Xenopus tropicalis: one gene and its partners. The protein of the gene in region 2 interacts with the protein of the main gene of each other region in a biochemical or structural test. Links are inferred from orthologs where the notes say so. Each region holds a gene or a part of one and is shown on either strand. Other genes may lie near its edges.

Region 1 (5,827 bases), on a different chromosome or scaffold from region 2:
TATTTGCCCTTCTCTTCTTCCCAGCTTTCAAATGGGGGTCACTGACCCCCCGGCAGCCAAAAACTTTGCTACAATTTTATTATTGTTGTTACTTTTTACTACTTATCTTTCTATGCAGGCCCTCTACTATTCATATTTGCATCTCTCATTTATACCATGGCCTGGTTGCTACGATATATAAGACCCTAGCACTCAGATAGCTGCTGAAATTCCAAACTGGAGAGCTGCTGAACAAAATGTGAAATAACTGAAAAACCATCAAAAATGAAGCCCAATTGCAAATTGTCTCAGAATATCAATGTCTACATCATACTAAAAGTTAATTTAAGGTGAACAACCCCTTTAACATTAACTAAAGGTGGTTCTGGGTAAAGGCAAGGAGGAAGGGCAATGCCAGCTCAGGGATGGATTCTCAGCCTGTGTTTATAAATCCAACACGTGGGGCAATAAACAAAAGACAGAAACATTAGTGTTATCATTTTGCAAAATAGCAGAAAACATAGTTGAATAAACTCACAGGGAGCTTACAGCATTTACTGTACCACAAGCCACCCAGAACAGAACTCATGGGTGGGGGATAAGCAAGATTAACAGATAAATACAAATTAGTGCCGTCATTGATAAGGTGACCCACAAACCTGCTGCAATTCTAGAGATAGGGACAGGAAAGGAAAAACCGGCGGTATCCGCAGAATTTGCTCTGAGACCATGCAGCAGACAGGAGAGGGGGCTTTACACTTACTCAGCCCTTAGTAACACACTACTGTCAGATCGCTAGGCTTATACACTATGGGGCTCATTTAATAAAAGTGGGAACTGAGTAGTAATGCAAAGTAATTAGTTCTGCCCACCCAGCTGCAGGAAGAATAGAAGGTCTGAATAGGACTGGGTGCTATAGGTGACTACACTAGTGCCAAGCTGCCCACGTTACAGGTCTGAGGAACCCAGCAACACCAACCACAGAAAGCCTTACAACTGGTGCACGTACATTCCAGAGCCCCAACACTGCACAGAGAATGTATAATGGATACCGGCTAATGCCCCAGCTGAGCTAACACTCCAACTTCCCTGCAACAAACACACGTGCAATGCTCCCATTCAAAAGCAGCCAAACTAGCAGTATATGCTGGACTATGGCAGGCAGCCCAATCACACAAAACCTTTCTTTTAACAGAACCCCATTCAGAACCCTTACTATCATGTGACTTAAGCCATGTTTAAATCATGCACCTTTACGCTAGCCATACATGGTGAGATCCGCTCCCCAAGCGAGTGGATCTTCTCCCGATATCCCCACCCACGGGTGGACGATATTGGGCTAATTTGGCCCTGGGGCCAAAAGATTGAATAAGAATGGCGGGTATAAGGTGCTGTCGGTTCAGGGACTGCGTCAACAAGCCAACGCGGACCATGATCCAACGGAGAAACCAAACCAGCACAAACATCTGGCCAATTTCAGGGCCTCAGTCGGGGAGGCCCATTGTTCGTACCCATACACGAGCAGATAAGCCACCGAATCGGTCTAAAGGACCAATATCAGCAGCTAGAATTGGCCTGTTTATTGCCACCTTTACCCCCCTTGTTTCTTTGCCAAGACCTTTCAGTAAAACACAGATTAGTGCATTGGTGTTTGTGCCCACTTCTGTCTGATTCTGACCTCAACTGCACAGGCTCCTGGCCAACAACCGCCCCAAGAGAGCTGGACATCAAGCGGCCAGAGACGGCAGCCATTGCTAATTTTTAATACAGAAAATTTGCTGCACTTTGTTTTTTCCAAGTTCTAGTTGTGCATCCCAAGATGGCAGCCCCCATTGCCACTACACAACTCTGCATCTGTTTAACAGGCACAGGGCAGATCTGGGCAGTATGGGTGGGATGGAAACCTCTGCAGGGGGTACATGATACACACATGGGTTTCCTTGTCCTTTAAAACACCATACAATTATTTTTTAAAACCGTTACAGGCAGCACTCCATAATAGCATTAAAATGACTATTATCACTACAACGGCAACAGCAACATTTTGAGCCTTATTGGCTCTCTATCAAGCTTGGGGTGTTATATTGATATTATGGCTGCAAGTGTCCAGGAGTGGGGGCCCCTGCTGGATGTGCACCCATTGCTGAATCGTGCTACTGAGTGAGTTTTAAGGTCCCCATACACGGGCCGATTCTAGCTGCTGATATGGGTCCCTTAGACCGATTCGGCAGCTAATCTGCCCGTGTATGGGCACTACCGACGGGCCTGCCCGACCGATATCTGGTCTGAAATCGGGCAGATCTCGATCGGGCAGGTTAGAAAATCTAGTTGGATCGGGGACCACATTGGCTAGTTGATGCAGTCCCCGGACCGACTTTGCCTATACCCGTCGTTATAATTCAAGTCAAATTAGCCTAGATTCTCCCGATATCGCCCACCCGTAGGTGGGGGATATTGGGAGAAGATCCGCTGGCTTGACCACATCGCCAAACGAGCGAATCTGAAGGTGTATGGCCACCTTTACCTACTGGTTTGCAATTTTTTTCCTTCAGATGAATCCAATTTACCAGCGCTGCTCATAGTTACACATGCAAGAGTGTCTGGGTCACAATTACGTAGGACAAAACGCTCACAATTAAAATGAATCCACAATCTGTTAGTCGGAGTAGCAGCTCACCCTAACATTGCCTTTAGTACAGTGATCCCCAACCAGTGGCTCAGGGCAACATGTTGCTCCCCAACCCCTTGGATGTTGCTCTCAGTGCCCCCAAACCAGGGAGTTATTTTTGAATTCCTGACTTGGGGGCAAGTTTTGGTTGAATAAAAACAAGATTTCCTACCAAATAAAGCCCCTGTAAGCTGATAGGGTGCATAGAGGTGCCTAATAGCCAATCACAGCCCTTATTTGGCTGAACATTTATGGTGCTTGTGTTGCTCCCCAAGTCTTTTTACATTTGGCTGTGTCTCACAAGTAAGAAAGGTTGGGGACCCCTCAGACAAAGTATTCCTACTACAACTCGCACTTGTGTTTTTTTTTAGTTTTCCTGCTTTTTAATGACTTGCGATTTGTTCTCCGGCTAGGAATTTAAAATGGTTGCCTGGTTACTAAGGCCCCACGTTCCCTAGCAACTACACCGCAGTCTGAATGACAAATGATAAACATACGGGGAAACCCAATAGAAAGATACATAATAAACAATATATGCCCAGCCTCCATACTACAATTTAGGGTTCCTAGGTCAGCATTGAAATGCAGCACTAAAACAGTTAAACACACAATATCATGAAAATAAAGACCAACTGCAAACTGATAGTCCCCCTCTGTCACCACTTGTTGCTGAACTACAGCTCCCAGCATTCCTAGCAGCTGGAGAGTAGAAGGACAGGTGGAGAGGCACAAGTTGGAATGACCCCCACTCCGGCTCCCCATGTGACCAGGCGGCCCTCCCGCCGTTTCCAGGGCTTCTAGGGCCCTGACTCTCCCAGCGCAGTGGGATTGGGATAAAGCAGCGCTAACTCACCCGGCCCGGCCCCGGCGTACATGTCTGCGGCCCCAAGAGCGAAGTGCGAGGGGGAAAATAAAGTTCCAGACACAGGGGGTAACGCAGCCAGTCCCGCCCCCTTCGCTGTGCACAGAACCCCTCAGAGAGCGGCCAGTCAGTCCGTTAGGGCTCCATGGTGTAAGGCACGGTGTGTGGGAGGGAATACGCCGAGTTCCCGCCTCTCGCTTCTCTCGCTTCTTTCCTTTTTTTTCTCTTTCTTTTGCGCGACATGAACTGAGGGGAAAACGGCCGGCGGACAGAGGCTGGGGGGCGGGACACGCAACGTCAAGGGGCGGGAACTCGGCGCATTGGAGGGAAGGGGGTGACGTCACACGACGCGGGCGGAGCTCTGGCCGGGGAGAAAAGGGAAAGCGGCTGTTGCTGGGCGGAGCTTTTTTCCTCTTTAGCTTGTAATAGAAATAAGGGGGAGGGGGCGGGGCCAGACGCGGCGGGTTTGGTTATTTTTCAACAATAATGAGCGGCGCTGGGTTACTCGCCGGAAGTGAGTGCTCTGCCATATTGGGTATGGGCAAATCGATAAAGCGCTAAACTTTGCCTTTGCCCGCGAACTGTGTTTATCCGAGGGCTTAAAGCGATTACATTGACGGACAATGGACTGTTTATGTCTGGTCTTCGTCATCTGCATTTTGTCTGTTAGGCTGAGCAGCCCCATAAGCCATACACCCTGTAATAAATATAATGACTATACGGTTCTGCGTTTGTGACCAATATTTGAAGGGCATTTTTTTTTTTAGAATTTCTTTATTATTTGATTTCTTTTGGAAATGTAAAATACTGTCTGGTTGCTAAGGTGAGTGGTACCCAGTAACCAGACAGCAGTGTATAGATTATTTCTTCTCATGGATGGACCTGGGCTAACAGTTAAGGTGGCCATACACTTAAGATCTGATTGTTTGGCGAGGATCTTCCCCCAATATGCCCACCGACGGGTGGTTAGACGGCAGTAACAGGCACTGTCGGATCCCACAGAAATATCAAACCTGCTCAATTGAAAGCTGGCCAATTTCAGCCAGATGTTGGTCGGGTGCCCAAACTTGGGCAGATAAGCTGCTGAATTGGTCTAAAGAACCATTATTGGCAGATGAAATTGGCCCGTGTATGGTCACTTTCAATGTTACACACCTTGTATTTTTCCACTGATATGAAGGCGCCCAACCCTTTCCTAGTGCTATCTAATGTATCTGCCATTACCAGCCCTTCAGGGAAAGAATCCCACAATTTCTTTTTTTTTTTTTTGTATTTTAACTTTTTTATTGATCATAAAACATTACAGTCAATGATTCACAAAGTTGTGTGTGGTTACATCAATAAAGTATACAAGTATGATTCATTGTGTATCATTCCTTTAGGGAAGGGGGGAGGAGGTAATGGGAGGGCGTTAGGGGGGTTGTGCGGGTCGGGGTCTTGCTTTCTCAGAGTCCTGAGCTGCTGGGAGGTGTAAAGTAAAAGTCAAAAGATGTATACATAAGGAAAACGAATGGTGTTGTAACTTCTCGAACTAAAACCAAACTGGGTGGGGTGCCTCTGAGAAGTTAACCCAGGGGTGGGCAAACTTTTTGGCTCAGGGTCCACATCGACTTTGAAAATTTGACATACGGGCCGGGCCAGCGCCATCTCCGCGTGCCAGTCCCCTAGGTACTTACATGCAGTCTTGACGCCAAGTCTCGCGTGATGAGAGTTGCGGAATCAGCGGGCCAGATTAAAAAGACCAACGGGCCGGACGTGGCTCGCGGGCTGTAGTTTGCCCACCCCTGAGTTAACCTGAGCACACTTGCAATATAAATGGGTTTTCTGTTTTTACTGGTTTTTGAGATTTTGGCTCCCTCGCTCTCAAAGTCAGAGTGTCAGTGACCCTTAAAGGAACAGTAACACCAAAAAATTCAAGTGTATAAAAGAAATTCAAATATAATGTACTGCTGCCCTGCACTGGTACAACTGGGGTGTTTGTCTCAGAAACACTCTTATGGTTTATATAAAGAATGCAGCTATGGTGGCAGCCATTCAAAGGAGAAAAGGGACAGGCACTTAGCAGATAACAAATAAAACACTATTGTATTCTACAGAGCTTATCCGTTATCTGCTATGTAACCTGTGCCTTTTCTCCTTTTTTCCAGCTTGAATGGATGCCCCCAAGGCTACACAGCAGCTTATTATATATAAACTATAGTAGGGTTTCTGTAGCAAACACACAACTTTTACCAGTGCAGAGCACTAGTATATTATATTTTATTTACTTTAAAGCTCTTTAATTTTTTGGTGTTACTGTTACCTTTAATGACCAGGGG
Region 2 (6,145 bases):
CATATTAACTGGGGGAGAAGGCAGATAAGTATGGTTTAGCTGAGAGCTTTTGTAGCTGACATAGATGCCCTAGTTACATGGTTACTGAATTCTTTTGGATGTATTGGGCAGAGATTCCTGATGCGCAGTGACATTTTCATCTGTCACTTGGGGATCTCTGTTTAAAAGGACAAGTAAAACCTAAAACACTGCCCAGATTTGTTCATGTTATGGCACGGGTCTATTTTATTGATTCCTGAGGTTACTAGCCCACATGAAGCTAAGCACTAGCTAATTTTGTGCTATTTAAAGTAATGAGCCAGAAAATAGAATCGCTTGAGATTTTACCACACATGCATGCCAAATTGTTCCAGTCTGTTTTTTTGATCTAAATAAGAAGACTGCAAAAAGACACGTCATGCTGCAGGTTTCTCAATGATCGATGTTCTATTGGAGGGTCATTTGCTATTGATCTTCCATTTACGATTGTTCAAAATAGTATGTGTAACTACACACAAACTTGTACAGGACTGCATATCATTGTAGGGCTTTATAAATAAGGTTCTACATGCATGTATAAATAAATATGTATACAAAGGATCCTTTATTTACACTGGGTAGATTTGCAGCTGGACAGTAACCCATGGCAGGAACTTTTTTGCTTTAATTGCAGCTGACTATAAAAAAAAAATAAAAAATGAGCAGGCTTATATTTGTTGAAACTGCATCAGTGACCCGGTCACTTGGGGTGCTAAATGCTTCTGCATAGAGATGGCTTATGTATCTCCTGTCTGTTGAAAAGCAGTGGTCCAGTCTTGCTTTATGGCAATAATTCCAGATCACTCTCAATCAAAAGATAGGTATCTCAGAAATATGACAACACTACTTTATCATAGCCCCTGAAGTTTGATAACCAGTGCTATATCTGTAATGCGTGTATTACAATTAAAAGGGTGTTCCACCCAAGCACAACTTAAGCTTTTTGAAAAGTAAACATAACTTCAAATAACTTTGCATTATAAATTAATTAAAAAAATGCAACATTTTCAGGATTTTTAATCCAATAATATTGTTTGAAAAGGTTCCCTCAGCCTAGCCCCCATTCTCCTGCTGATCTGCCTGGCTACTTTGAGAATGTAACAGTAGTCGACTCTCCTCAGGCTGCCTGTATCCTCCAAATCCCACAGTTTTTGTTGGGGCTCTTTAACAAACTTTGGTTCAGAAGCTGGAGTTGCCCTTTAAATGTCCACATAAACTTTTAAAATATATTCATACATACATATATATGTGCATTTATTGTTTGCTTTATCTGTTCGCCTGATTTTAAAGTAAGGTCACAAACATCTGGCCTGTCAGCTTGTATTTATTTTTGTGAACTACAACTCCCAGTATCCTCAGTCTAGCTCTCATGTTGACACATGCTGTGTAAGTTCTGGTTTTGAGGTATGTCTCTGACCACATTCTATATCTCTGGGCTTCTAAAGCTGTTGTGCTAATTTTCTTTCTGGAAATCCAGGTTTTATGTGTAATAATTAGAGCAATGTTTGGCGCTTGTTCTGACTAAGTCATTATAGGTATAATAATATATGAGCAGGACACTTGAGAACAGGTTGCTATTATGTAAGAGGGTGTGTTATAGTTCTCTCAGATGTATATTGTAAAGTTTCAGCAAGAGAGCAAGATTGGCTGTGTTGCTGTGACTGGAAATGGAATTGTCCCAGAATCATATCTTGTATATTGCAGTCTTTGTAGGTTCCCCAAAGCGTTGCCGACACTAATGCAACAGGCAATATTTTGCAGGGGGAATAAGTAGTATGTTGTGAGGCTTAACTTCAACTGAAATGTCAATTTACTTCATTGGCTACTAAGTAAAATTGCTTAAAGCACTACTGTACCTTTAAAAAAAAAAACAAAATGAGAGAGAAAACTGCCCAGGCTTAGTAGGACAGGCGCAGCTCTCCCCCAGCATTGACAGCTCTGGGACTAGCTCTTTAACTGCCTGGGCCCCTCCCCTCACTCCCTCCTGGCGCTTCTGATTGACAGATCTGGCTGGTCACATGATCTGCCTCTATTTGAAGGTCACAAAAAAAGCAGCTTCCTTCAGAGAGGGAGAGAGAGAGCGAGAGGGAGGAGAGAGCAGAGAGAACGTTCAATGCAAAATGGCTGCCAGTCTCTCGTTTATGCACATTTCCCTTTAAAGAGGAGAAAACAGAAATATATAAACAAGTGTGTTTGGAATTTATTATTGTGTATTGCATTTTTGCCTATTTTTATTTTGTGTACTTGCGTTCATTTTTTTTGTACTGGATTTACCTTGTATGCCTCAAACCGCTGGATTATAGCACAGTTGCACTTTATAAGGTCAGTACTGTTTTATAATATCTATCTCCCTTGCATCCCCAGCCGTTTTGTCCTTTGCAGTCTGTACCGTGTGCGATTTCATGCACACACACGCTCTGTGTATATCTGCTCTCCTGTCTGCTCTCCCTGCATTTCTCTGTATGTCTCATTTCTGTTTGCTTTCCTTTCTGCTGTGCTGTGTACATACCCATTTGTCACGGCAAAAGATTCCCTATATATATATATATATATATATATATATATATATATATATATATATATATATGCTGCTACACTCTTAGCTAATGTGAATGGGCAGTATGTTTTACTACAGGGAATTACTCTTGGCCTCAATTGCTTCATTAAAAAAATATTATATATATATATAATTTTTTTTTTAATATATACATTTTTTTCGTTGATTAGTCTGTGATTCTTAATTTACACTTCAAACAAACCTAGTATTTACTCAAGGCTTTTTTCCATGCTATGATCTACCAAAATATGCAGTGTGGTGATATAGAGATAAATTGGTTTTCTATAAAATATACATATATACACATTCACTACATCCTCTGACCTCGTTCTGTTTATTGTAATTTTTTTTTTGTGCCTCCTGGGTTACACATGCAAGTTTTTTTGTTGTTTTGTTTTTGGTTTTTTTTTTTAATTCTGGTCAGATTTATTTATTTTAGTCTAAAATCCGCACTGGCGATTTTTGGATTTGCATTTTTAAAGCCACTAAGGCCTAACAGGAGGGGAGAGAGAGAGAGAGAGAGAAGGAAGGAAGGGAGGGGGGTGGGGGAGGAGGAGAAGGGAGGGCGAGTAGTGGGGGCTGGGGGCATGTTTTTTTTTCCAAGGCTGAATGCGTATAAGCTACTGTATATGTGCAAACTGCAGCCATCTGCAGTATGTGCTTTTACCCTGAGGTTTTGGGGTTTTATATTAGTGGTAATATAAAAAAATATATAGTGGTGAGAGAGAGATGTTTGCAGTTAAGACCCATATGCTTTCTAAGCATGTATTTATAAACTCCTTCCCTTATATTATATATACTTTCCTTTCTTATTCTCTCTGGATTTCTAGAAATAAGTAATTCTTATAATGTATAAGGAGATGTATTTGGATTTTGCCTTTGTGATTTTCAGCAAGGTTTTGCCGGTGCGGCTGTGTGGCTCGCTCTGCAGCCTGGTGTATTTTCTGTGCGCTGCTTGTTACTCTAATTTTCATTTTGCGTGCCACGGATGTGGCTGTTAGCCTTGGACATTTGGTAGCCCATCTGTTACTAATTGCAGGACAGTCTAGTCGTGGAGAAAGGTTTTGATGAGTAAGAATGTCCCTATCCTTTACAATCACCAAACACATTGTATCAGCATAACAATGTACTGGCAGCCTCATCGCACTGTCACCCTGACAGAATAGGCTCCAAGGGTAGCCTTGTGTTTTGTGCCTGTAAAAGTTGCAACCACCTCTGTTCTCATAGCCTTCCTGAGTGATCCATTTGTATGCTACTAAAGATCCACCCCCTAATTACCCTTCTATACTATGAAAAGTGGGTTGTAGGGGGAGGATCAGGCAGTAACATCCTTACCCACTGTATACTTGCTGTGTTAGTCCAGCAGTGTAACATATTTTATTAAGGTCCTGGAACACATTAACAAAGTTAAGGGTGAATTTAAACGTAGTTTGCAGTAGTTTTCTTGTATACACGTGACTGCGAAGAGCAGTTTATAAATACAATTTAACAAGGTGCAGTTTACATGCTGCAGTGGAAGTGCCATGCCTATTCTCATGACTGCAGTTCAAAGGTTAATATATTGATATGTAATGTTAAAAGGCCGGTTGCATCAAAACAGTAAATATTGTGTGTATTAAATATTTTATATATATATCTTGTTTGTGTATAAGCAATAGCTAAAAGGTTAATGCCACATATGGTTACCTTCAGCCTGGCATATTTCAGATTGGTAAAAAGCACACATGATCCCTTCCTGTGGCTTTGTATTCTGAAAATTAGGCCAAAAAGCGCTCACACCTTAGCTGCCTGGTGTTTTGTATTCAGGCTAATGCCAGACGAAGGCACAGGGCGGATATTTTCGGCAAACGGAAAAGCGCTTGCTGCAAATACCACCCTACGCCTCCTACATGTGCCTGCACCCAAATGAATGGAATACGCTCGGGTGCAGGCACATGTAGCCGAAATACGCATAAAAATGCAAGACTTTCAAACTCTCGTGTTTTTATGCGTATTTCCTCTACTTTTGCCGAAAATATCCGCCCTATGCCGAGGTTTCGTACGATAATATCGGTGCGTGTATGGCCACCTTAAAAGGCACCCATGGTGATATATGCTTAAAATAAAGTTTATGTTAATGTCTGTGTAGCCATGGGGCTGCCATTCAGGTTTTCAGTAGGTGCCTAGACAGGTATCTTTTGTATTGTACTCATCTAGTTGACAGATATAATTCATAAGCAAGCATTGTTACCTTTTGTATTAGTTTAGCTCCTAAAACAAGTTGTTAGGGCCGTGGCAGATGGGGAGATTCTTCTCAGTGTAAGTAATAACACCTCAAAAAAGTTCAAAATTAGTGGTGGTAATTGTAATTGTATTGCAGAATTTCAACAGTGCCATAACTTGGTGTGGACAAAGACAAAGTTAAAATCAGAAGGGGTGCATTATGCAGTTGGGCTACAGCGCACTCCTATAGAGAAGAGCACTGGAAGTTGGGTTGCTGCCTGCTTTTTAGTGACATTGGCCTAGTAGTTTGGGGGGTGCTGTAACCCTGAAAACAGAGATATATGGAAAAAGGTCACATTCCCCTCATACTGGAATTGCCAGTGTGACAAATTCAATATAGTGAAAAATCTAGAGCACCGTATCTTAGGGGTATATTTATCATGTTGTATAAAAAGTGGAGTGAAGCTTTACCTGTGATTTTGCCCAGGGAAGCCAATCAGCAATTAGATTTCAACAGTTAGAAAATCAAAGCAAAGCACCTGATTGGCTGCTATGAGCAACATCACCAATAATGTTTTACTCCACTTTTTACACAGCATGATAAATATACTTCTTAGTGTAATTATAGTTTTGTTACCATTTTATGTTGATTATGTCTCAGAAGACATATACCAAATCAGTATAGAAAATGTTATCTGACAGGAAAAAAAACTAAGAATAGTAGATTTGCACAGTTTTGCTCTGACAGACACATATGAGTCTCTGCTCTTAATGCAGTGGATCTAGAAATTGGTCAGATTTTACTTAGTTGAAGGGGAAACGCATGTGGTGGATTTTAAAGTAGGTGGGTTGGCAATGGGTTTGCATTGCCTTCTGTGACTTGAATTCTGCATAGGATAGAAGGGTGTAGGCATCTGCGCTTTGCCAATTGGGATTTAAGCATTGCTTGCCTTAAAGGTCAGCAGGATGACTAATTCTGTCAGGTCCCCCATTGAGGAAATCCTGCAGACTGTGGAGGGTGGATGGGAGGAGGTCTGGAACCTACAGACTAAACTAAGTAGGAAAGAAATTGTAGGATGCAAATTAGAGATAAAGTTTTAGCATAAGTATATATAAGACTTTAAAAAAAAAAAAAAAAAGATTTTTGCAAGATTCTTAGTGATTGCTGCTTATATTTGGACATAAAGTAACTAACTACTTCTCTCATATATATGTATATATGAATGTCCAAAGTACAGCACTTAGCCCAAGGTTTTGTTTACAGATAGCAATTTTTCTCAAGGGGAATTTTTTTTTTTATCTGTATGTTTTATTTATATATACATATATATATTATATATTTTAGCTTCTTTTTTAAATGCAAGTGGT
Region 3 (5,714 bases), on a different chromosome or scaffold from region 2:
TCTTACATACATTTTTTGGGGGTTGTTATCACATTAACCATATCTATAAATCTCCTTTCGCAGAGACTGTAACTATTTCACAAGCAGTGCAGTCATACATTTCACCATATAAAAAAAGCAAGTGTTATAATCTATTTAAACTGATGCACTGATGCAAAATATGTAGCCAAGATAAAATTATTCATTTCACTTTGCCTTGTGGGTCTGCACCCTGGGGACTAGACAATAACAGAGTGCAGAGGTCAGTCGGGTCATTTTTTTTCTATAGACTCGAATTAGGATTGAATGCATTCTGAAATCTGATTGGTCATATCATGTTGTCAAACATACTCTCTCATGCAAACTTTCTCCTTAACCTGAACAGGCCTGTTGGAAGGAATCGTAGTACACTGCAGCATTTTTCCACCACCCAGTTTAATCCAAATTAATTTATAAGGTGTACATTAGTTTAAAACTCTGCCACTTGAAAGCATTTGACAAGATAAGTTACAGTTTGCTAAAACCACTTCCATTTAGAATGCATGTTATGAACAGATGTGGTTTAGCTTTACTGCAAAAATTGTATTGATAGGCGTCTTTCAATCTCTCTTTAAATTAAAACATGGGTTTTGGAATGAGAGTCCTCCCATCGCTGAGCTAATAGTCTCTACCTTTATAGGAAGGATTTGCATCAGATGTTGGAAAATTACCGTTGCATTTCCTTCTAATCAGCCAGAAAAGCACTGGTGATTTTGGGCAATCAAACCTGACACACATTCGGCTTTGCAATACATTCCACAGGCATTCTTGTTGGGTTAAGGTATGCCAGCCAAAGTCTTCCACTACAGTCTCAGAAAATGAATTACATACATGCAGCATTATCAGGCTGAAACAATGAACAGAGGTCCCTAAACTGTTGCTAAGCAAATATTGTCATTATTCTCTATATTCTCTATATTGTTATGGTTTACTTTCAGCAGAACCAGGAACCTTGGCACCTTTTCACTCCTCTACCAAACTTTAGGGTTGACATTATGGGGCCGATTCATTAAAACACGAGTTCGAATCCCAAATGGGAAAAATTCGGATTGGATACGATAATTTCTGACGATCGCAAATATCACGAAAATGCTTACGATAATATCGTATTGGTGATCCGAAAGTCACGAAATTTTCGTACCGAACAATTGTAAACAGCGGCAGAACCTTTCTGAATTTTTCGAACAAGCATACGAAAAAGTTGTGTACGAAAAAGTAGTGCTAGCCTGGCATCAGCCAAACACGGATTGCCAGATTAATCACTCCAAAGAACATATTACCACTGTTCTAGGGTCTAAAAGCAAGAACCTTTACACCACATAAACCAACATTTGCCGCTACATACAGTTATCTTACAACAACCCTTTTTTTTATTTTTTATTTTGAAATAAGCATACAACATACAGGCTACTATATGGGTATTAAAGTGTATACAAAGAATCAAGACCATGAAGTAATGGAGCATTTTGGTAGGACAAAGATAGCGGACGTCTATATAATAAGTAGTCTGTAGGCATACCGTAGGGGGCCACAGAGGTTCCCTTTCGGGGCCACTCAAGGTCTCTGTCTTATATAGTCTTATATAAACACACACACAAAAAAACTATAACTATGTACAAAGGACATAAGACCTTGTAGCTTTTCTGTGTTCGATGTCCATGGTGGTTTTTACAACAACCCTTTTTAAGTAAAAACAGAAACCCCTTTAAGTTTTAGAGCTGCTGTGTTGAGTACTCTCAGTTCTATTGCAGGCTTTTCCATATTTTTAAGCTGGTCCTATATATATATATGTCACCTCCCACAGCACCCCCTATATGGAACATGCATTTGCAAGGATAAAATCCTTATCATTAAAATAAGAGCATATATATTGTAAACTAAGAAGAGGTTAAAGAAAGAATACTTTTGAGTAACATGATGGATGATAGCTAAATTGAGGGATCACACTCAAGCCTATCTTCTATTGCTTTTTACAATACCCCTTTGAAACAGTACAGGTATAGGATCCCTTATCCAGAAACCCATTATCCAGAAAGTTCCAAATTACAGAAAGGCCATCTCCCATAGACTCCATTATAAACAAATATTTTTTAAGAAAATTATTTACTTTTTCTCTGAAATAATAAAACAGTACCTTGTACTTGATCCCAGCTAAGATATACCTAATCCTTATTGGAGGCAAACAAGGCTAATGATTTTTAGCAGACTAAAGATGGAAATCCAATTACAGAAAGATCCCTTTATCCGGAAAACACCAGGTCCTGAGCATTCTGGATAACAGGTCCCATACCTGTACCATGTACATGAAAGTATTGAAAGCAATGTACCTCAGACATGCCCTTTCGGTTTGGGTAAAGAAGTACTGTGCAATTATTAGTATAGGTGTATTAAAAAGGGAAGGGCTGTAACTAATTTGTGATCATGAACAAGGTAGTACAAATTGACATGGCATCTTGGTCACTAGTTTTTAAAGAAGTCCCTTTCAAGCATCAATTCCAACCTTTCCCAATTCAACTATTTACAGTCTACTTTTAACTGCCCAGATCATGGCTTAAAGTAGCACTATCATCAAAGTATTAAGTATTTCTACTTGAAAACAGCAAAAAAAAAAAAAAAAAGTTATAGCTTTGCATTCCTGGTACAAATAATCATTAATTATTCTCACTCAAAAAGAGTCACTGGTTTGAAATATCTTTTAAATTACAACAACTTGGTGATTAATTTACACAAAAAAAGAGGGGAATTATAGGAATCATTTTAGACTATAATGAGTATGATTGCAGCTGCCTGTAAGGGATGACAAGAGAGAATAATATTATGATATTTGTGCTAGGCAAATAGAACATAACTGATAAAAGATGGCTTTATGCCTAAATTAAGTTATAAAGCATAGGAAGAACATTTCCATTTATGCTTGATGCTGAATCGACGGCCCAAAGCAGTGAAGCAAATACATAAATGTGAAGAATCTTCTTATACGGTGGGTGTTAAGTCAACATAATGGTTGATTAAAACAATAACCTTCAGTGCCATGCCACATTCGGTGACATTTATGCACGACTACACACATACTTTGATCTTTTGGACATTGAAACACAGCCCAAGTGACTCCAACATACCAGTATCTATTAGTATTAACAAATAAAGAAGTGACATATTCTGCAGCGTATCCATCACCACATACAGATGATATACAAATACAGCTCCATGCAGGAGTTAAAGAGGGCCCTGCCCAATAGAGCTTACAATCTAAAGAGAGGTATCAAACAAAAAATATAAGTTAAAAGTTATTTTTTTTTTTAAAAATGAAGTAGAAATAATGAAAAGTCTTCCCACATGTTATCCAATAAATCACGTTTATTCCCTTCTGCATTCAGACTATTTCTCTCCCTCTGCACTTGCCCCAGCCACATCTCCCTCCCCCTCGCACTCCGCTCGCTTTTGGCATGAAAGAAACATTCCCAATTTGCATTTCTTTAGGGGGTCTCTCTATCAACATTAGTTGCAGTCTGTTAGCCACTCACCCCCACCCCCCTTCCCTCCTCAATACAACATTACATCTCCCCCTTTTATACACTGGGAAGCTAGCAACATCCCCTGCTCACCTGCAGAAGAAGGTCCAGCTTCCATCCCATCCACACAGCTTAATATCTGGTTTTATGTACAATGTAATGTGGCTACTGTCTCCCTGTTCTGTTGCAGCTGCCTGTTCACCAAGCTCTAAGCTTCAGGCGCATGCGCTTTAGCACTGCAGCGCGTATCCAATCAGAACGCTTACAAACCTCGCAGTTTTTTTTTCTTTTTTTGCAAATAACTTTATTTAAATAAGAAGCATGCTGTGCGCGCACACACGTGGAATAGTATTTATTTATTGTCAGTTACATTATCATTGTCAGCCTCACATCCTCACCTAGAATTGCGGATAGATACAGGGGTTACTATTAATCATCACTGGTGTACCTAGGTACATAGTCCCTGTTTTCTAATCCATCCCTTTCCGCCTTTTCAGCAGCTCGCTCATAAACAGACTTTCTCGGTGCAGAAGAGGGCGTCTGATATATGATGCAATATGTCTCCAGTATATACCTTTCCTGTATTCCGCAGGGGAATGTTGCAATTCGATGTCCCTTTAACTCCAGAAATAGTTACATAGGGTTGAAAAAAGACCTGGGTCCATCAAGTTCAACCCTTCCAAGTAAACCCAGCACACACAAACCTATACTGACCTATCTACTGTATACTATCACATACAGACCCATAGTGACCTATCTATATACTCACATACAGACCCATACTGACATATCTATACACTCACATACAGACCCATACTGACCTATCTATACACTCACATACATAAACCCATACTGACCTATCTATACACTCACATACATAAACCCATACTGACCTATCTATACACTCACATACATAAACCCATACTGACCTATCTATACACTCACATACATAAACCCATACTGACCTATCTATACACTCACATACATAAACCCATACTGACCTATCTATACACTCACATACATAAACCTATACTGACCTATCTATACACTCACATACATAAACCTATACTGACCTATCTATACACTCACATACAGACCAATACTGACCTATCTATACACTCACATACAGACCCATACTGACCTATCTATACACTCACATACATAAACCCATACTGACCTATCTATACACTCACATACAGACCCATACTGACCTATCTATACACTCACATACATAAACCCATACTGACCTATCTATCCACTCACATACATAAACCCATACTGACCTATCTATACACTCACATACATAAACCTATACTGACCTATCTATACACTCACATACATAAACCTATACTGACCTATCTATACACTCACATACAGACCCATACTGACCTATCTATACACTCACATACAGACCCATACTGACCTATCTATACACTCACATACATAAACCCATACTGACCTATCTATACACTCACATACAGACCCATACTGACCTATCTATACACTCACATACATAAACCCATACTGACCTATCTATACACTCACATACATAAACCCATACTGACCTATCTATACACTCACATACAGACCCATAATGACCTATCTATACACTCACATACATAAACCCATACTGACCTATCTATACACTCACATACAGACCCATACTGACCTATCTATACACTCACATACATAAACCCATACTGACCTATCTATACACTCACATACATAAACCTATACTGACCTATCTATACACTCACATACATAAACCTATACTGACCTATCTATACACTCACATACAGACCAATACTGACCTATCTATACACTCACATACAGACCCATACTGACCTATCTATACACTCACATACATAACCCATACTGACCTATCTATACACTCACATACAGACCCATACTGACCTATCTATACACTCACATACATAAACCCATACTGACCTATCTATACACTCACATACATAAACCCATACTGACCTATCTATACACTCACATACATAAACCCATACTGACCTATCTATACACTCACATACAGACCCATACTGACCTATCTATACACTCACATACATAAACCCATACTGACCTATCTATACACTCACATACAGACCCATACTGACCTATCTATACACTCACATACATAAACCATACTGACCTATCTATACTGACCTATCTATA

Evidence for each region. The genes of interacting proteins can lie anywhere in the genome.
Region 1: the proteins of tnrc6b (region 2) and ago2 form a complex in vitro, tested with the Homo sapiens proteins (3 studies listed by BioGRID and IntAct, with this or other methods). The link is inferred for Xenopus tropicalis from reciprocal best matches to the Homo sapiens genes TNRC6B and AGO2.
Region 3: the proteins of tnrc6b (region 2) and ago1 form a complex in vitro, tested with the Homo sapiens proteins (2 studies listed by BioGRID and IntAct). The link is inferred for Xenopus tropicalis from reciprocal best matches to the Homo sapiens genes TNRC6B and AGO1.

Annotation. Positions count from the first base shown.
Region 1 is NC_030682.2:146,754,897-146,760,723, reverse strand, and holds the start of ago2 (protein argonaute-2), read right to left. Parts: upstream 3,761-5,827; 5' UTR 3,523-3,760; coding exon 3,501-3,522; intron 1-3,500.
Region 2 is NC_030680.2:121,672,919-121,679,063, forward strand, and holds the start of tnrc6b (trinucleotide repeat-containing gene 6B protein), read left to right. Parts: upstream 1-2,079; 5' UTR 2,080-2,131; coding exon 2,132-2,340; intron 2,341-6,145.
Region 3 is NC_030678.2:81,796,912-81,802,625, forward strand, and holds the start of ago1 (protein argonaute-1), read right to left. Parts: upstream 3,761-5,714; 5' UTR 3,649-3,760; coding exon 3,624-3,648; intron 1-3,623.